Linked DNA regions of Schizosaccharomyces pombe. Changing the gene in region 4 together with the main gene of any one other region gives a genetic interaction. Each region holds a gene or a part of one and is shown on either strand. Other genes may lie near its edges.

Region 1 (3,811 bases), 3.9 Mb from region 4:
GACGGATGGTGCGTCCGTTTGAAGATTACGAAACTGGACGGTTGTAGCCGCAGCAATTTTATCTACAAAAGAAGAAGCCCTAGGATGTGATTGAGTGACTAACCTTGTTTTTACAACCCAAATGGGGTTAGTAAGAGTGACACTTGCAGCACCGGCGATAACCGCAGAAAAGATTTGACCACCCCAGTAACGATAAAATTGTTTGTCAGAACTATCTAAGGAAGCCTTGATGCCAACCTTGGACGAATCAATTTCGTGGAGAGAAGTGTATTTTTTATTTACCCCAAATAGCACTTTGCATTTTTCATAGACTACAAAATAAATGGACCAACTAGGAAGATAACCTAACATCATGGGTCCAACACCTCTATAAAGACCGGCGATGCCTTCATTGTGAAAAATTGTTCGCATCGAACTGAGGGTCCCACCCAAAACCATTGTATTTTTTCCACCACCAGTTGAATAAAAAGCCTTTTGTGCCTGCTTTCTTGTTTTTACTACATCTAAAGGTGCCACTACAAGAGAAGAGGCCAATCCAGCAGCTCCTCCTGCTATAGCATCCTTTAGAGAATCATCAACCATAAAGACGGATCAATTTCCTGATGATAATGCATGCATCTAAAGAAAACAGCAATTAAATAATAGACCTTGACAAATTCTTTACTTTTTTAGACGCTGATAAGAACGATCCAACGCCTTACGATGTTTCAAATTGGAAATGTATATATATTTTAGCGTTGATGTAAGAAGCTGTACAACAACATATATGTAAGTAAAGTGTTTGGCAGCCGTCAATAAGAAAGTCGAATCACTGTGCGGTAAACCACATTAACGACATGAATGTCTCCGAATTACTAATTGAGAGGACGTTCCATGCCCTTAAAAGAGAATTTCTTTTATATGTGCATATCAGATATGATTAAAGTCGTAATGCCCATTAACAATATATAATGGTGACATTGATGTTGCTAACAGCTTTACACACATATCTCAATTTTACTTCACAGATCAGTTGGCTTTATAAGCACCATTGGAACAGTGCTTTTGCTTTTGCTTTTGCTCGTATAAGTATTAAGAGGAAATTACTAATATAAAACCTTAGTTTTTCATTTTTTTCCAAGTCCAAACATATTGTTTTTATACATTAGCTTCTCTTGATTACCGCCAATTTCTAGTCGAAAAAATTATTTTTTTAAGAAATCCTACATTTGCTGAGAAGAAATGTTGAAAACGTAGTAACTACACAGTGTACCACTATATTGTTGGATAACTTTGTAAACTCCAACGTACTGTTTTGTCATACTCTTATTGTCAACTTTAGAAGCAAGATGTAGAATTAATATACTTGTAAATAACTGAAACACCATTTTTGTCGAGACTTAACTTCAAATATATTGACAGGTGATTGCCTCTATTGCCCTCATTGGAATAGTGCGTTGAACAATCAGACTGTAGCCAGGCTTATGGGACAATAATTCCTTCTTCAATTACTTATTGCTTTAGCAAAGATAAAGTGATTAAATTGGCTAACCGTGACAATAATGAGCTTTAAGTCTCAATTACTTATCCTTGCTCAGAAGCTGTCGAAAGGTGGTATTTCTTGTGAGTTGATTGAGTTTGATGAGTGTATTTTGAAGTTAGAATGGCATACTGAGCTACTTGATAAAAATGATTCCTTATTATACGAGCAGGAAGAAGATGATATTTTAAGCCTTATGAATCCAATGATCACTATGCACGCCTGGATTAGGGATTCTCCATCCTTCGAAGTCCCGCAGTTCTTCTTTCAACCTTATGCAAACGGATCAGATCCTCTTACCAAGATGGAACAGATTTTTGAGTTATTAGAAGGATCCAGTCAAAATTTAGCATATGACGCTCTTGCTATTGGGGACTGTCCAGGTACAGTAGGCATAGCATGGTATATCCATCCATGTCGTACGCGTGATTATTTCGAAATGCTTCAGATAGACAAAGAGGATCCCAAGTATCTCTCTCTTTGGTTGCTATATATTCATCAAGTCCTTTCTCCGCTAACTCAGCCTATAATAAAAGCAGTTGACGATGCCGAAAAATCCTAAAGATAACCTGTTATAAACGGGTATGCTTGCTAAGACTTTGTCTTATTAAATATTATTCCCCATGATTAAAACTAAATTAAAAGTCAATTTAATCCGTATTCTCTGGTTTTAGTTTATAATACCCTGTGAATCTATAGTAAAATTTTGACCTGTTATTTGACAGCAAAAACATTACGGATCTGAAGACCTCAATTGTAGAAAATAGCTTTTGTTCTTTAAATTTGTAGATAAAATACTATACTAATTAATAATCCTTCTGTTTTGACATATCATTCAACTGTTCCACTTAAACCTCTACTTGACCGCATTGATCTCTACACCAACAATTGTTTGTTAAGACAAACGAAACCGGGTTATATACTATTCCTCCTAACACACCTTAGCAACAAATATGGAACAAGTTCCTGTTCTAGCAGAAGATCAAAGGAATTTAAATGAATTTTCAGTGTTGCATTCTCGAAAGGCCATTCAAGAACTTGATATTAAGAATTTAAAAACGCAAATAGAGGATATTGTTGACGCTAAAAATGAATGTGAATTACTAGACGAGGATGATGGAGACGATATTCCAGCTTTAAAGGTTGGCGATGCCTTTTTCCAAGTTTCCCTTCCTGTACTCCTTGACCAGCTTGAGCAGTCAGAAGAAAGTTTGGAAAAGCAAGTCGACGTATTAAGATCTTCCATGGAAAAAGACGAAACCCGCATTCAAGAGTTGAAATCAATGCTGTACTCTAAATTTCACGATCAAATTAACCTAGACTAAGATTTGGAAAAAGCAGCAAATCTCAAAATTAGAAGCTTCATCTTATTTTTCTGAATTAGTTTCTTTAATTAAATAACATTTCATGCATTTAAATTTATTCACAATACCAAATCTGTATGCAATTAGCGCCTCCAATAAGTAAACTTCTTTGTTCACCCTAAGCCATTACAAGTATCCAACCACCACTATGGCACATGAGATTGAAATTGACTCGGAAGCTGACCTAGGTCGTACAACATTTGAGGCTGAAGACCTTTATAAGCAGAGAACTCCCATTACAAAGCCTCCGGCCCCTAGATTACAATCTCGTCGCGCATCCATGCAAGAGACGCCATGGACCATCAAAGATTCATTTAACGTGGAAACTAAAGATGTGGTTCAACGATGTATACATACTCTTATTCCCACTGTAAATTTCTTTGATGTTGTAGATGATCGTCCCGATTTATACGGTCCTTTTTGGATAACCACTACGGTTATACAGGCTCTATTCTTTTCCAACTCAATTACCGAATACGCTCGTTATGCCACAGGGCATGGTACAAGTGGCTATTCTATAAAAAAGTTGATCTCTGCAGCATCAATTATTTATGGTTACACTACCATTATCGCCGTTTTGTTATGGGGTATCCTAGTGTGGAACAAATGCAACCCTAAGTTACTCGACTGTCTGTGTTTATATGGATATGCTAACATTGTTTGGCTTCCCGTTTCTTTAGCAACTCCTCCGTTTGGATTGCTATCTACTTTGGCCTCCCATATTGTCAAATATGTACTTACAGGGATTGGTTTGTTAATTTCCATTGTGTTTTTAACTAGAAATTTATATCCTATCTGTCAGCAAGCCGGATCAAATTTGTGCAAACTTTTATTGTTCGGAATTATCGTCTTTCACTGTTTGCTCGCTTTGTCTCTTCAACTCATATTCTTCAGTTAATATCCTAATTTGTGAGGAGTTTCTTTTATC
Region 2 (5,512 bases), on a different chromosome or scaffold from region 4:
TAACTTGCAAAAACGGATCAGATATATTGCCAATGTTATGCTCAGAGGAGTAAGTACTAGTGGACAATTGACGAATACGATAAATCAAATCGTCAGCTTGACTTTCAAATCGGGATATTAGCGACGGATTTATTTTGCAAGCACTGATGGCAAAAGCAAGAGCAGCCATTAAAACACCATGACTTTTTGAATGTAACAATTCATCGGTTTTCTCAATATATAAACTTTCCAAATCCGGTTCTTTTTGAATTACTCTAAGTGCACAGAGAACAGCCTTCTTTGATATATAATTATGATGGTTAGAGCAAAGTTCGGCTATGTCGTTTGACAAATCCCTTGCAAGCTCAGGGCCAGCGACATTACCAAACGCAGATAATGCCAACCCCACAATAAATTTGTCTCTAGATTTCAAGTCATTTTGAAGAGAATTTGTCAATAACGTCAAAACTTCCTGGTTCTCGTCTAACAGAAGCATAGCTGCTAGGTATCCCAAACGTTTATCCATGAATCGCGAACTCGACAACAATTTTAAACATTCAATCTGACCAAAGTGTGTCGGCTCACCGAGTAGAAATAAATATAGCAGCTTGGCAACATTTTTTCTGCGCATACGCATGTCATTAGAACCTTGACGAATGTTTTTTCTGATTTGAGCCGACTCTTTGAGAATCGTTGTGTGCTCCTCAGCAGTCGTTTTGGATGCCCGAACAGCCTTTATAAAAGATTTTAAACTTGACATCTTTGGATGCGTCTTTGGGGAATTGGTGAAACCTCTTTCCACTCCCGAACAAGTAAGATGCAGGTTCTTTGGATGTGTTGTTTGCATTACTTGGCTGTTGCTTGTACATGCGGTAGGGTATTGCACGGTAAATTTCTTTAAAACGAATTTAACGTTGCGACTCTTTCGTCAATCTATCAATAATGAATACTAAAAAATATGCTTTAAATAAAATAAATTTTAATTTGTTTTGTTGCTGCTGTGTTACGTTAAGTCAGCTGAAGTGTCTTTTTTTATAATTCCTAGTTTTTATTAAGCAGATGTAAATACCATTTATATTGATTAACTTAATATTATGTTACCACTTATTGCAAGTACATTTAAGAAGGTGTACTATGGCTAAGAGTTGAATATTTTTTAGGTATGGTTTTTGTGCTTTTCAGTAATCATATTACGTTTAATACACATTCCCTTATTAGAGGTTCTTAATAAAATCCATGTGCAATACTAAAGTTATCTTTCCATCCGTACCAATATTCACTGAGATATTTTACGTTCCTACTATAATTGATTCCAGTAAATATTAACTTGCATTTCTATGAGATGTATTGAAAGCAAACAGAAAAACGCAATCTAAACACAGAATATATAAAACAATGAAAATCAAATCAATTTCACTTAACAAAATAGGATGCAGCTTTAAACGACGCTCAAAACTGATGCATTCACCAATACTGCACAAATTAAAAGAATACCTAGCTTCCTTTGGTTATCTGTGTAATTTTTGAATTATCCTATCGAATTTGCTATATGGAGTTGTTAATTGATGGGCAATATCTGGAATTTATGTTTCTCTATTCGTTCTTGACCACGCTATGTGGCTTTGCTTCTTAACTATGCAGTTTGTAACCAGTTTTAATGGCACGTTAAATCACAGTGAGTTGTATTTGTGCACTACTATATTGCGATATGCAGGTAACGCGAAAATCGGGTATTAAGGTGTTATTGTAAATTATTATTGAAATGCTCATAATATGTAAACTAAGGGAAAAAGGTTCGATTGAGCATTCTTTTTTGTTTGTACCTGTCAGTCATTTGGTAATAAGCTACAATAAGCAAGTGCCAATGTCGTATCACATATAGCGGATAAATGAATAGGACATGTGATATATAGTGATACGTAACGAAATTTTACATAACGTGGTGTAGTATTGCAGATATTGCTGAGATCAGGTGGTTCATCGTCTTAGCTCGCAATTCTAACTTATCAACTCCTTTGCTCATTTTGAAACTGGAGACTTGGCTTTTCCTTACATAAATCGCATAGAACGTGAATTGCTTAGGAGTTCGAGCTTTTTATTTACTTCCATTCTATAGTGGAACATTTGGCATAGAATTTTTATTTTTGGAATCACGACTGTGGAGTTTTCGTCATACCAGTTCTGTCATCTTGAAATTCCAAGTTGGAACTTCCATCAATAGATTACATTTCTAAGTTTCTTGCTTTCATTCCTCAATTTTTTATTTAGAAGCGAAGCAAAAAATAAATTTAATCTTCCTACGTTCATATCCGCTTCTTTTTCAATTTCTTTGATACTGTTCGCGATACGTAGCTGCTGATTTTACGTTATTTTTTTGTTTTATCTTTTTCTTTATATATTTATCTTTTTTGTTATATATTCACTTAGTTGCTTTAATTGCTGGTTATTTAAAGATGATTGCTGCAACACCCGCTAAATCCAAACCATCGGATGTCAACTTGGAACAGACGTTCAAAGGTGTTTCTGAAACCTCAAAAATTGACCTTCGAAGGTCTAGGGCCGCTTACCGACCTCTGGAATTATCTCCTACTCCCTCGATTTTTGCTCGTAATTATCAACGTAATGCGGTAGACTTTACTGGATTTTTTGTGTTATTTTGGGTTGCTGTCTCTATTATGATTTTCATGAGCTTTTTAGAAAATTTCGAATTGACTGGAAGACCAGTTGTTGGCACTATTTTTAAATACTTTCAGTCTAATTTGTTAGATCTGGCAAAGGCAGACCTTGCTATGTCTTCAATGTTTCTACTTGCTTTTCCTTTCCAAAAGATTTTTGCTTTGGGATATCTGCGGTGGTATGGTTTAGGCGTTTACCTCTATTCCATTCTTATTTTACTTTTTTTAAGCCATTGTGTTTTACGCTGCTGTCTTAGCAACTGGTCCTGGACGCATCGTGCTATGTTTATTCTTCATTCTATGGTAATCCTTATGAAGCTTCATTCCTATAACGTTGTCAACGGTTGGTATTCTTATTGTTATCATTCGTTAAATAAGCTTCAGTCAAAAAAAACCGATCTTGATGATGATGAACGATCCTCAGTTGAGTTTTATGAACATTGTCTCAACCATCATGGTAATACTTATCCGGAAAATTTAACCATACCAAATGCTTTGGATTTCCTTTTCATGCCCAGCTTATGTTATCAATTATACTACCCAAGAACCGCCCATGTGCGAATTCATTATTTGATTGAATGCGCTTTGGGAACGTTTGGTTGTATCTTTCTTTTGGTCATTATTTCTGATCATTTCATGGTTCCTGTACTTGCTAAAGCCATTCGAACCATTATTGAAGCTCCTGAAGACGCATCTGCTACTTATTTTGCTATACGTTTAGGCCATACTGTAGCATTTTTGATGTTCCCATTTATGCTTAGCTTCCTCCTCGTGTTCTGGGTCATTTTTGAAGGAGTTTGTAATTTCAGCGCAGAGATTACTAGATTTGCCGATAGAAACTTTTATGATGATTGGTGGAATTGCTGGACTTGGGATCAATTTGCCCGAACCTGGAATAAGCCCGTTCATTACTTTCTCCTTCGCCACGTTTATGTTCCCCTCAACTCTTTCATGTCAAAGTCTTTATCGACTTTTTTCACGTTCTTTGTCTCCTCTGTATTACATGAACTTGTTATGGGATGTATCACTTTAAAAATCCGCGGTTACGGTTTGTTTTTTCAAATGACTCAAATCCCGTATATCATTATTCAGCGACAGAAGTTTGTTCGAAGACATAGACTGCTGGGAAATATTGCGTTTTGGTTTTCTATCATAATTGGTATCGCTCTTATTGCAGCTCTTTATATCTTATTTTAGAAGCGATAGGGGTCTCCATTATGAATAATTACCTCTTAGATTTTTTTTACAATGCGTTATTTTTTCTAGTGACTATTTCTATCTTTGACACTTTTTGTGGCTCATTTCATCTGCCCAATAAGGGCTCCTTTATGACATTTTATGAATTGTTTTGTAATGCAAGTAGGAAATGCCATTTCTATTTGAACACGTCAAAAGGCTGCAGAGTAATTTTGGTAAAACTTAGTTTTTGTGCCTCTGTGGAACTTCCGTTTCATTTTGTGTCGGTTCATTTGCTTGTTTATGATAAAATGGAATCCTGATTAAATTAACGAATTAAAGAAATGGGTTTAAAACATTTTTTTCGTTGAAAATTATGTTAACCGATTTGTTGTTTACTTAAGATTTTTAACATTCACAGATGTTCGTTTAATTTTTAGCCAGATGATTGCTTTGATTAATAAGTTTCCTCATCTCGTATTTTCATTAACATAACCATCACTGTTATTAATCGAATTAATGTGTCTAATCGTCAGTGGTTAGGATATTCGATTTATTCAGTTTTCCCATTCTTAATAAATGTACTTTTCTGTCTTGCACAATAAAATTATTATAGCAAGAAACCTAGATAACGCAACCCAATGTGCAATAGCACTGTACAGTAAATTGCCTATAAGCAGGGGTAGATATTTTTACCACTGGAATCCCAACTCACCAAGAACCCATATCTTGTAGTTCGAAGTTTGATTCGGAAAAACCTCTTGTGTATTTCAAGGTGCTCTTTCTCAAAACGAAATCGCAAGGGTATCGTTTGGGTGCAATACGGGATGATGGTAATAGAGAACCCTTTTTTAAGTACTGCTACAAGCAGTCAGACACCTCAAGAGGATGGCGTGTACACGTCTTCCCTGCACAACAGTAACAATCCTTTTTTAGCTCCCAAGACAGAGCGTGTGGCTGATCCGGTCATGGAATCTATGGCAGATGACTTGGTATGTAAATTTTTGAGGCTGAAGTAGATATAATTCGGTCATTGCTTCGTTACGTGAAGATTTGTTAAATTTATTGAAACCTTTCCAAATTAGTGTTCTATTAAGAGTTTTTAAGTTTCTAATTTAAAGCGCTCATAACGTACATTTTATTTAGACAAGGAGTTTCTTCGGTTTGCAATGAAGTTGAGCCGAAAATCGAGCACAGCTTTCAATTTTAATATGTTTCAAAAACTAACATTTTACCAGTTTAATAGTATTCAAAAGAAGAAGGAGCCATCTCCTGCTTCCTCTGCTTCAGCAAGTCCCGTTAAAAAATCTGCGGAGGCATTAGCCGAACGATCTAACAGTTCGATGGGCACTTTTGACCCCCCTCCAAGATATTCGAAAATTGCTAGAGCTCGTAGTACTCATGTTGCCAGCTCTAGTCGCCATCGTTCTCCATCGCATAACGACAGTTCACCATCCACCCAATCCAGTTTGAAAAGCAGGGGTAGCATTCGACGCTACAAGTCTGTACGAGAGGGATCACATCGTCCTGGTCGGTCGTCAAAAGAACCATTAGATCAGATAGATCGTTTGGACGTAACAGGGCTTTATGGATCTGGTAGCTTTCATCACGATGGTCCTTTTGATGCTTGTCGACCTCATCGTAATCGAAATTCTAAGAAAGCACCTGTTGCCGCATTTCCA
Region 3 (5,969 bases), on a different chromosome or scaffold from region 4:
CTGCAATTAGGTATTCTACCACGGAAGGTTCCGACATTCCCAGTAGCGAAATCGCTTTGTCAGACACATATTGCTCTAAAGACATTTTGTAGGCGCAACCAGAATAATATCACCAAAAAGCAATGAAGCTATTTTTGAATATAAACCCTTTCAAAATTTTCATAAAATCTTCATTTGGAAGATAGTTAATTTTCAGTTAAATTTGCTAAACGCGTTGCGATACATAAGTTTAAAACAGTTGTAAACTACACATTATGCATCGTTTAGTATATATTGGATTCTTTGAGTTACGGTAATTTACATAACGTGTTTTTCGTTATATTTGCTCGAAGATTGGTTTCGCTGACGTTGACCTAAAGTTGATTAACACTTATTCTTTAACATATTTTTGTTTTTTAATTATATATTAAATAATTATACAAAATAGGATTCACAGTTAGAAGATTGTTTATCAATAGGCATTTGCCTCGATTCGTTGTACGACACACGGCTTTGCCTACACTTGTTCGTTCTTCTCACAAAATGTCAGACGAAGCTTATGCAGCATTTCTGGAAACAGCTAACAAACCTGTTCCTTCTTATTCGGGCGACTCTTCCCAACTTCCTTCAAAATGGCTGAGAAGCTCAAAGAATATGTTGGAGGATCCCTCATTTAAAACTTTAGCTGGGAAAGTTAAGGATGAATACTTTGTCAGTGAATCAGATGAAAAATTTCACCCAATATGCATTGACAATATCCCTGACGAATTTGAAGAGATTGATGCAAAGACCTTTGATCCCCATCAGAAGTACAAAAAAGTAATTCATGCAATTGAGCAATCAAGTGGGTCAAAGGACATCCATTACTTTTCTTATGAAGAATCATCTACTAAAACTGTATATTATGTACTTGCCCATTTGAATGACAATAAGTGGTTTGGAGTTGCTACGGTAGGCATATATACTTAACTGGCTAATGTTTTTTTTTATAGCAGAAGACTAACAATCCGCATTCAATAAATGTTTCTTTAAGTCGTAAGTTTTATTATCATAGGTTAATGTAATCGAAAAAGAATAAGTTGTAACTTCTCAAATGTAAGTTCAGCACTTGAATTGAAACAACCAACTAAACCAACTCACAAAATCATGATTCTTACCGCCTTCATTTCATCTCATAGAATATTCATACATCCATACAAGATTTGCGATTTAGATATTACATGGTCTTCAAGTCAACCTTAAATATAAACAAATTAAGGCTTCGCTTCTTGGTTAGCTGATGCATCTTTCTCTGTTTTCTCTGTAGCATCACCTTTAGAAACGGGAGGCGCCGTTTGAGATGAAGACTTTGCAGTTGTATTAGGAGCAGCATTAAGAGACGAGGAAGTAGAGGCATTAGAATGAGAGAAGGTGTTAGAAGCGTTGTTATTCTTATGTACATTCGATCGCTTCCCGTTAGATGAATTGAAAGATCGTTGAGAATTGCTCCTTCTTGAATCACCATACATAGGATAATGCATATTCATCATGCCATTATTAGGAGCATACTGGCCATACATAGGAGGAACGCCATTCATTGTGTATGCCATCATGCCTCCCATTTGGGGAACAAAATAAGTTGCAGGAGCTGAAGCGCCCCTACCGTTACCAGAAGGAGGAAACTGTGGCATTGCGTAAGGCGGAATGAATTGGGGAGCCATGTAGCCTATCATTGGCGAACCTACTGTGCTAGAATTTCCAGAAGTCGGTGTTCCGTTAGGTGAAGGAGCTACAGAGGTATGCTGACTAGGGTTTCTCATGTAAGGAGTATAGCCCGGCACAGGATATCCCACTGGTATATATGGCATTGTAGGAGTAGGATACATTGGCATTGCAGAAGGCATAGCACTATTGGGTAAAACAATACTAGGAATCATGGGATTCGCAGCTGCTGCCTTCTTTGCAGAACCAGAATTTCCTTCAGGTCTTGAATTTGCAATGGTTTGCTGTAGGGAGTTGGGTCCCGTGTTCCAAGTCGGGGGACATGAAAAAGGCTTATCAATCTGCTCCGCTCCTTGGTGTTCTTCTCCAACGTTTTTAAAAACATTAAAGTTATCTAAGATGGGTTCCTTCTCCGATGAAACAGGACCGTTGAAGAAAACAGGAGAGGAAGAAGGTTTGTTTTCACCATTGGAAACCACTGAAGGTGATTGTGGTGTGGTTGAAGGAATCGAAGCTTCACTGTTGTTGGACTGCTGAGGCATCATCGGACGTGAAGCATTAACAGGTGCGGGTTTACTGGGGATAGTAAATTTACCAGGTGTAAACACAGGAGCAGCTACATTCGGCTTAAAAGATATAGCCTTAGCATTCAACTTCGTGCCCAGCTTTGTACCTGTGGTTTCCTTTCTCTGTGTAACAACAGAGGGCTTTTCGGGTTCAGTTGATGGTTTTTCCTCTTCTTTTGAAGGAGAAGATGTATTTCCATCAACCTTTTCAACCTTTTCGGAAGACACCTCCGTAGCAGATGTAACTGGTTTTTCAGCTTCCTCCTTTCGTGGTTCTTTCGAATCCGCCGGAGTTGCCTGGCTGGAAGCATCAGGAAGCTGTTTTTCATCAGCCACTTTAACTTCAGCAACAGATTTCGTAGAAGAAGGTTGTTTGGAATCCAGCGAACCTATTTTTAAAGATTGGCTAAACTGCATAAACTCTTTAATCTGTCCTTCCTTTTCACGTCTGGAGAGAGGACCAGCCTTACGGCGGGCGTTGAAAAACCTTTCAGCTGCTCGAGAATCTGGACCAGGTGCGCGAGGCAAAGCAAGGTGACGGTGAGACACAATTGCTGGATCATCAGGAGGAACTACTTTCTGCTGTGGATGTTGATGAGGGGCTTCATGGTTCTTAGGTTTTTGATCTTTGTTGTTCTTGTTGTACGCATTACTGCGGGTGTAGTTCCTAACAACATCGATAGAACGATGAACGCCAGAATAAAGGTCCTCTTCATCAAGTCCACTATCATCAACTTTAAGACCACGCTCTTCAGCAATATGAATGTTGTTGGTTACGGTACCTTCAATTTCTTTCGCTATACGATCAGCTTCTTGCTCTTTCTCTTTGTATTTTGGATGACTTCGATCGATACGAGAAGTATACAAATCTTCATCAAAATGAGATTTCACACCGAAAAGTTTTTCATTTGTAGCAAATTGATCCCATTCAACATTATCAGTAGACTCCTCTAAACCAGCTAGAGGAACACCTGCATCTTCCGGATCTGGCATCCAGCGACGGAGTTCTCGTTGACGAGTTTCAGTGCGCTTTTCTGCTGAAATAGCTACATCTGTTTTCCAAACTCTTTGCTGAGAATTATTTGATTTCGCAGAACCAGAAACACTCGAAACATTTTCCTCGGAAGAGGCCAACGAGGTAACGTTGGAAGATGAGTCGGTGGCTTTAGCAGCAACTCCCCCTCTGACTCTATTTTCAGGTACTACTTTAATAGATTCTACATTACGATGATCATTCGTAGCAGACTGAGCAATTTTGCTTCCTCTAGCAGCAACTGCTGACCATTTTTTGGCACCCTGAGTTTTATTAGGGCTGGCAGCGCGTTGCGAGGTCTGTTTCATGCTGACAGAACGGGTTGCCATCAGAATTACTTGAGTGTCCTCAGATACTCTTGCAATTTCTCGATTTGCAACCTCCCAGTGCCCAACTGAAATTTGAGTAATTCCGTGGAGGTTGGAGGTAGAAGCAACTAAAAGTGAAGTGTAACCTTTAGGTAACTGGGCGAATGGCGCATGACACCAGGCTTACACCATAGAGGAAATCAAATGAATGCTACCATTCCTAATAATTGAATTTTTTTAATTTTAAATTTCAAAGTCGTAGCATAATATATTTTCAGGTTCGTACCTTTTTTTTTCATATAGATTCAGTTACTTTGCAGAGCACTAACCACCCAAAGGCTGCAGGTGGCAAATGCGGTCATACTCTATTTTCTTCGCAGAATGTATTGATAAATTAGCAATTGTACTGTTGATAATTTACTGATTCAAAACGCTTTATTTGCTTTTTTTACGATAACAGATGCAATTTTTTGAATTAAGCTGTAGTTTATGTAGCAATGTATGGCTTTACAATTCATGTACTATGTCTGGATGACTTATTCTACAATACAATAAGACAAAGGTCAATACATAATACGGAAATTCCGTTAAAGTGAACAGGCAATTCTTAATTGAGTAAACTTTAGACATTAATTGATTCAAAAGCAACCTACAACCGCAAAAAAAACTTATTCTTTGTAGCTTGGAAAGTTTAGATTGGCCTTAATCAAGGGTTATCGGCTTACATGCTTTACAAAAAACACTTTTCATTTGCAAATGATTAGTATACTAAGAATAAAAGGCTTGAAAACTGGCACATATTTTACGTCAAAATAGACAACCAAGGACACTACGAGATTTTATAAGTTAAAAATCCCATTTACACCAATATTTGTTTAAACTTCTGAATTTGTTCTATCAGAATTCTATAGCCCCTTTAAACCACTCTCTTTCCAAGACACTGCAGTTTTTGTTTCATATTATAACGATACCTTAGTGACCATTAACTATTAACACTTCAGAAGTTAACATCGGGCTGCAAAAAGAAGATATCACTTGAACCGGCTTCGTGAGCAAATAACCCAATTAAACGTCGAAAGTTTTGGTTTCGTCCTTTCAAAGCTATTTTATTGCAAGCATTATAACCTTTCAGTATTTGAATCCTACAATTTAATTTTTCACGATGGGTATGAGCTTAAAAGGACAACTACTCACATTTTTTGGAATATTCATTACTGGTATGTTTATTGATACTATAAAACTGAAGTAATTCAGGTTTCAAAGTTCTTTAAGAGAATAAATTAATATATATATTTTTGTCTATAATTGCTTTTTTCACTAACTCACGCAGTCGGCCCTATATCATTTCTAGTGCTTAAAAACGATTTAAATAATAAAAAAAGAGAGTACTTTAAATTGTATAAGCAAGAACAGGCGAAACAGCTTGAAAATGCAAAATCTTCAAAAGAAAACAAATAATGAAATATTTACTATAATTTCGACGCCAATGTCAAAGCTGTCCACAGACAGCGATGCAAAGATATTAAATAAAATAACCTCCTAGTCCATGTAGTAATTCCGGCAATCCCAAAAATAACACTATATAATAAAAACGCTGAGTAATTAAAAATTAAAATAAAATAAAATAAAATAAAGCCTTAAACCGGAGCCATTATATAACAAAGCGAGACATATTAATCCAACAATATGTAGAATAAGTTATAAATAATAAACTAGTATTTCTCTCCTCCTGCGTTAACAAGCGACGCTCAAGGAAGCAAAACAAATGTAAGGAAACAACAGATAAATGATAAGGGGGGTTCCGTAACGACCTACTGAAAAAAAAAATCACTTTCCAGGCATTAAAAAAATAATCTTTCAATTCAGTGTCATAACGTTTCCAGGGCCTTTCATCTTTGCAGCCTTCAATAAAGATTGTCAGATAATGTAAAAACTTTACATGTTACGAGGAAACTAAATAAATTGATAATCTAAAATATATGTTTAAAAGAACTTAAGCCTATCAAACACTAAGCTTAAAAACTTGGAATGGAGAGTAAGGAATCCTCATTTTCATATTTGTGAAGTTATGCTCAGACGATAAGGCTGAAATATCGCGAAAAAATCTCCAAAAAATGGACTTAATCCTTTCAAAATAACATACGAAGAACAAAGTTGGTTATAATAGCTGCCAACAAAACAAAGCAGAGAATGGTAGGTCCCAATCGATCATCGTAAGGACCACTTCCGCGTCGTCGAATAGCAGATGCTCTCCAGTGGTAAATACCAAGAGCATAACCCATGGTACCAATAGCAACAATAGTGAAAAGTCCTGCACTAATCTTACCAATTCGATCACCAAAGTTAAGTAAACCAACTGACAAACCACCCAAAACTACTGCA
Region 4 (5,943 bases):
CGTTAAGCCATGGATTTTTGAAGAAATTGAAGCTCGTCAGTTTATTGATAAGTCATCAACTCAACGACTCGAAATGTTGGAACAATACTGTAATAATGGTTTAGAGTATTGGGGTTCTGACTCTCAAGGAGTCAATACGACTAGGAGATTTTTCTTGGAGTTTATGAGCTTTTTCCATCGTTATACACCTATAGCTTTGTACGAAGTTCAAAGGCCCAGATTAAATGATAGACCGCCTCTATATACCGCGAGAGATGAGATGGAAACTCTCTTGGCCAGTAATAAAGTTACGGACTGGGTTAAATTGAGTGAGTTCTTCCTAGGTCCTACTCCTGAGCGATTCACCTTTACACCAAAGCACAAAAGCAATAGTGTGGAAGAGGCAGAGGGATAAACAACTTATGGTCTTAGTGTATCGAGCATTCACTTTCTTCATATGCATCATCAACTTTTCATACTTAATACTGGCTTATCATCTGGATTGAATTAAGTAGATTAATAAAATATCTGGTGACTTATATACGAGTGATCTGTGTTTGTCTCGTAAAATGCGCAAATGACTAGGCAAATTGGTAATGAATCTAACGTTATATAGTCAACTTACCCAATGGGAACTAACCAACGATCTTACAGTACTCTACAATTACTATCGAAACTACGTTGTGAAATAACTTAGCAAATATATGGTAAATAACACTGCCATACATATTTATTAACTTAAAAGGTATAATAATAACAGCAAGAGGATATTTGGTACAAAAATAACTTAATACACAATAAAAACCATTAAAAATCCAGAATCCCAAAATGACAAAACAAAAAATTAAAAAACAAAAAAAAAGCAAACAAAACAAACACAGCCATCATGTAGGTAATAAAGTAAGTGCAAAATTAACGGGAATGAATCAAAGGAGACAGGTTCACTTTACAGCTAATTCGATTGTTGTATGCAGATAAATGCAAGCCCGTAAACATCAAGCAAACTCCACACAACATGTCTACCCTTCTCAAACTTAAAAGCAAAGATAGACATAAAAGTATTCAAACTTGAAGATACGAAACTGAGATACAAATCTCATGTTCAAATATTACAAAGGCAAAAAAGAGCATATTTATGCGGTGCGCATAAAGTTCATTTGAACTTCCCGTTGAGCTTGGGCCATAGACACTTGTAGATGACTATGTGTACGATGATATTTCAAACCGTTTAAGTTTTTATATCTTTTACTACAAACTTCACAGCGATAAGGCTTGTTTTCCACAACAAACCCTTGATGAGGAATTGGAGCTGGTGTTGGAGTAGTAATGGGGGAACAGTGTCCATGAAGTTTGTGATACTTCAAACCATTTTGATTCTTATAAGCCTTATCACAATTAGGGACAGGGCATTTGTATGGCTTGTCTACAACCACCAAGTTAGAGCCTGGGTAATCAATAGTGAGCGGTGAATCGTGTGAGAATGCAGGAGTAGAACGCTGCTTTTTAGATGGCTTAGCTTCCAAATCACTAGAAGATTTCCTAACAAATGGGGATGAGATTGCTGAGTTTGTGGCTGCGGGTGAAACTACTTCAGGAGTAGGAGACATGCTAGACTCTGTGAATTGATCGGCGGATGCGACAGATGGAGCAAATGAAAAAACATCGTGATCGTAATTGAATGGGGGAAGATATGTAGAGTCAACCATGTCCTTTTGATTGAACGCAAAAACATTATTGGCAGCGGACTCACCAACGTCAATAGACATGCTCATGTCACTGAGAGGGGAGCTTGCATCCATTACCAATGATTCAGGCATCTTTTTCGGGGTACCAGTTGTCTCTGCTTGACTACTGGCCTCGTCACTGCTCATGTCGGAGCTGGCAGCGGCAGCAGCAGCAGCAGCAGCGGCAGGTACGACAACGGAAACGCGGTAAGGGCCAGGAGCACCACCGTTAGCAGGAAAGGCAAATGGTAAAACAGCAGAATTATCAGAAATTTCAGAAGTTCCAAGCTGATCAGCAAGATCATGCATACGGATGCGCTCACGCTGTTTGAGCGCTTGAATATGAGAATGATTAGATTGAGCAGCGTTGTTGCTATCCAAAGAATATTCTTGAGGAACAGCAGAATCAGTTGCCAGAACGGCGTGCTGCTCTTCATAATGGTGAATAAGTTGATGCAAATCTTCGAGAGTTTGACCACAGCAGCGGAAATCACGGCAAAATGCTTCTTCTAACCGGTTTAGATAAGAGGTAGAATCCTCTTCGGGAATCGTTTGTGACTCAACCACGTTAGAAAGAGATGGAATAGTATCACGAAGCCAAGCTTGTCCACTAAAGCTATTTCCCCAAGACTGTGGACTCATTCCAAAAGAGGTAGCATGAATGCTGTTAAAGGAATTTCCGTTGTAGTTGACATTGTGATGGGAAGGCTTATTGATAGGCAATGCGAGAGATGGCATATTGAAAAGTTTTTAAGGGAATTAATAAAATTAAAGAGATAAAAGAGAAAATTAAAAGATAAACCGATAAATAGAAACCAAATTAAAAATTATATACCAATGATGAAAAAATAGAATAAAAATAACAAAATAATTTAGTAAGTTATTTTTTGAGAAATCAGGGAATAATGCACTTAGAAAACTCGACTTAAGGAAGGCAAGTTCTTAGAGAGCGCTGAGAGGGGTAAAAAAAGGCAATTAAAAAAAGACTGAATGTAAAATCTAATGAAATTCGACGAACTATAAATTCGAAAAAAAAAGGAAAAAGTTTCTAAAAGAAGAATTTACCAAGCAAAAAAATGAAGGTAAACTATTTTTAAGCACTAAATTACCCAAGTGTAATTAGTGTATTGTAATGTTTTAAGTGGAAACCCCAAAGTGACTTATCTAATTTTTTCAGTCTAAACAAATTGGCGATTAACGGATGATAAATGTATAATATAAATAAGATGAAAAGAAAGGGAGTAAAAACCTTTTAAAGAATCCTTTTTAATCAACAAAGAAAGTCAAGTAATAACGAATCGAGTCGAGGAAACTGTTCGATTCGACTTTTTTTTAAAATAAAGCGAAATAGTAAATAATTTACGCTTTGATTCAATGAACAATCGAGATCAATCGAAAAGAGTGGTGATACTTCAAAAGAGTAATCTTTTTTTTGCAGGCAACTAGTGGACGCAATATATGTTGCAAGCGAATTTTTTTTATAAATATGTTTAATTTTTTTTAAGTTGAATATATGGTATTCAACAACAATTCTATGATTGTACTAACTCCCTTAAGTTAAGTAAGTATATTTGCTTCTGCTTCCTTCGTGTCGTCCTCACGTTGAAGTTAGTCAGAATAAGGCGTTAAGAAGGGTAGGACGGTGTTTAAGTAGTAATTGATAAGGTGATTTAGCAAGCCTTCTCGTTACGTATGTATAAAGGTAACAAGGATAAAAGGGTCAAGTAACAGTGACGCCGACTATGCGAGCGAATAACAGTGAAGCTTTCAGACTTAAACACCTAATGAGGGGCCCTTAAATATAAGAAAGCCAATCAGAGTACACAGAGTGGATCGAACTTGGATCAAAGTAATTAGGGGTAACAATGCAACTTCGTCAGTGCCGTATCGGAAGGTCGTTACTTCCAATAGATGGGGCCGAAGACAAGGGGCGAATAGTTTCTAGACAAAGGGTCGCAAATGAACGATGGCGGATGGCTTGGAGCTCAGTGCAGAATTAAGCGGTACGCAGCTTAGCGTTATAGTGTCCTAATATACGGTCAAGTGCACACGGGTACAGTAACACACACAATCTTTGTTTATGTGTTTCTCGGAAAATCGAAGCGGCTAAAAACGTTTAGCGATTCAAATGTTGGTTCGGTAATCAAACTTGAGGCAGGGTTCGCAGTCTGGTCACGTTGTGAAGCAGCTAATGGGGAATGGATGGAGGCAGACAATGAAGATCGTTGTCGGTTATACCAAATTTACCGGGAAAGCAAACTCAAGGAATTTGCGAGATACAATGTCCTTTCAAGGGTTAATTGGTAAAGTAAACGACTATGAAATGAAAGAAATATCGTCGTTTAATTGAAATGGAGGAAGGATATTTCTCTTCTTTGTGCTAGTAAAGAGAAGACGGATATTTTTGGAAGAGATGTAAAAAGACAAGCAAACAAGAAAATGAAAATGGACGTCTAGCGATTTTACAAGAAAAAATTAGACGGGAAAAGGGAAAAGAAAAACTAAAGCTTATAGGAAATGGAGCTAAAAAAATATCTAGATAGAATAGCTTGCGAATGAAGAAAAAAACAAACTATCGTACAAGATAAACCAAATATATAAACCTTACAACAACCCAAAAGAAAATGATTGAAAGTAAGGTGAAGATCAGTAACTAACAAAGGAACAGAATGGAATAACAAGTATATAACTAAGTAAATAAATAAATAAAGAATCGGTATTATCACAGATAAATGAAAAGATAATACACACAACGATGAAGAGAATATAAAAAAAAAATTGTTTCGTTAGAATCAAAGGAAGTTTTTAACAGAACGGAGTTTTTTATTTTTTTTCGTAACCAAAAAAGACTTTTAGAAAAATTGCAAGGATTTAGAGCAATACTGATGATTTCATACAAACGATTGGAGAATGGGATGTATTGTATTGAAACCAATGAACTGAATCGAATCGTTAAGAGGAAATTTTTTTTTAATAAACAATGCAGTTTGTGTTTGGCATTAGCGAAATCCACATCCATTATATAGAAATGGAAAGTCAACGTCAAATGTCCAATCTATCAATTCTTCGTTTTCTTCCAGAAACTCTTAAGCATCATTTTCATTATTTAACAATCCCATCATTTGTCCACATATCCACCACACTTAGGTCAGTAGTTGAAAAGATGAAATTCGCAGGCATCACACTCAATACCAAAGGCAATGAATTTACAACGTTTTAATTACATTTCTCAGCAATCTTCTAGGGTTCTGGCCATTGGATAGTTTATGATGCTTCTATATCAAACACACTCTACCATGATGTCAAGGGCGCTGGCGCTATGGCAAGCGAAGGGATATGAACAAGGACCAAGATAAAAGTGATTCTGACTTGGTTCATGAATGAAAAACTACAGACAATTTGATAGGATTAATAATTGAAGAAAACGATAAAGAAATTCATACATCCCAAGGAGTAATCTATCGTCTATGAGAAAAAAATGAAAAAATGACATTAGTAAACAAGTGTCAAGAGAGTATGGGTCAACAACATCAAAACGACATTGTCGCATACAATTCAAGTGAGACAGATTCAATTCTTCCTATACGCAACCAATTCCCGAAGGTATTCTTTAAAGAAAAAAAAAATAAGTAAAATTGAAATTGAAATTGAGCCAATTGCTATGCATCTATTATGACAAATAAGAATTGCAAGACTGTATCGCAAAACACCGTTAAAATAATCAACATTGCCGTGTTTTATCCAACTTTTCCAAATTCCATCCGTCTAGTACAAACCGTTTACCTGACCAACAATTTACGTAACTTAACAGTACCGGTAATAACAATCGTTTAGTCCAAGTTTCGAAGCTTTGCCCGCCTACACACAATGTACAAAAACGATCTGCCGTCCCGATCGTCAAAAAATGGACACTCATTTTAGAGAATCAGTGTTGTTTGACGTAGTCAAATGGAAGGGAATTCGGAAGCGCATACATGGAAGTAATGTGACGTTTAAGGGAACGTTTCGTATTATAACGTGGTACATTGACCAAGGTTTGGAGCAAGTATTATTTCATAAACTTAATCAATCATCTCTTCTAACGTTGTACACACAATTCAATGTTTCTGAATTAACTAACGGCTTCAAATGCCTTTTACGTATATCATCTACTCAAATTGGATGTTTTCGGGAGAGGGGTTGAATTGGGTATTATTTGTTTAGTTGAAGTTTTGACCTTGCATGCATGTATGTTTTGCTT

Evidence for each region.
Region 1: mutations in sfp1 (region 4) and pfd4 together harm fitness less than expected from each alone (positive genetic interaction), as found in Schizosaccharomyces pombe (one large-scale study listed by BioGRID).
Region 2: mutations in sfp1 (region 4) and are2 together harm fitness more than expected from each alone (negative genetic interaction), as found in Schizosaccharomyces pombe (one large-scale study listed by BioGRID).
Region 3: mutations in sfp1 (region 4) and ath1 together harm fitness less than expected from each alone (positive genetic interaction), as found in Schizosaccharomyces pombe (one large-scale study listed by BioGRID).

Annotation. Positions count from the first base shown.
Region 1 is NC_003424.3:503,512-507,322, forward strand, and holds pfd4 (prefoldin subunit 4), read left to right. Parts: upstream 1-2,397; 5' UTR 2,398-2,472; coding exon 2,473-2,844; downstream 2,845-3,811. Other genes in the region: yea6 (NAD+ transporter), read right to left, coding at 1-582; atg10 (autophagy C terminal domain family protein), read left to right, coding at 1,542-2,081; yip5 (Rab GTPase-binding protein), read left to right, coding at 3,032-3,781.
Region 2 is NC_003421.2:2,397,294-2,402,805, reverse strand, and holds are2 (acyl-coA-sterol acyltransferase Are2), read left to right. Parts: upstream 1-1,987; 5' UTR 1,988-2,432; coding exon 2,433-3,851; 3' UTR 3,852-4,467; downstream 4,468-5,512. Other genes in the region: AP-1 adaptor complex gamma subunit Apl4, read right to left, coding at 1-739; protein Pal1, read left to right, coding at 4,658-4,822, 5,069-5,512. UniProt on the Schizosaccharomyces pombe protein: Sterol O-acyltransferase that catalyzes the formation of stery esters.
Region 3 is NC_003423.3:1,664,698-1,670,666, reverse strand, and holds ath1 (ataxin-2-like protein), read right to left. Parts: upstream 3,708-5,969; 5' UTR 3,609-3,707; coding exon 1,233-3,608; 3' UTR 949-1,232; downstream 1-948. Other genes in the region: ATP-dependent RNA helicase Cdc28, read right to left, coding at 1-85; SPOM_SPBC21B10.02 (uncharacterized protein), read left to right, coding at 523-948; SPOM_SPBC21B10.15 (uncharacterized protein), read left to right, coding at 4,750-4,804, 4,918-5,045; vacuolar transporter chaperone (VTC) complex, GTPase regulator subunit Nrf1, read right to left, coding at 5,717-5,969. UniProt on the Schizosaccharomyces pombe protein: Involved in post-transcriptional regulation of gene expression, probably by association with mkt1.
Region 4 is NC_003424.3:4,431,192-4,437,134, forward strand, and holds sfp1 (transcription factor Sfp1), read right to left. Parts: upstream 3,323-5,943; 5' UTR 2,442-3,322; coding exon 1,113-2,441; 3' UTR 678-1,112; downstream 1-677. Other genes in the region: tRNA dihydrouridine synthase Dus3, read left to right, coding at 1-394; SPOM_SPAC9E9.01 (uncharacterized protein), read left to right, coding at 3,670-3,706, 3,748-4,010; SPOM_SPAC9E9.02 (uncharacterized protein), read right to left, coding at 4,426-4,722.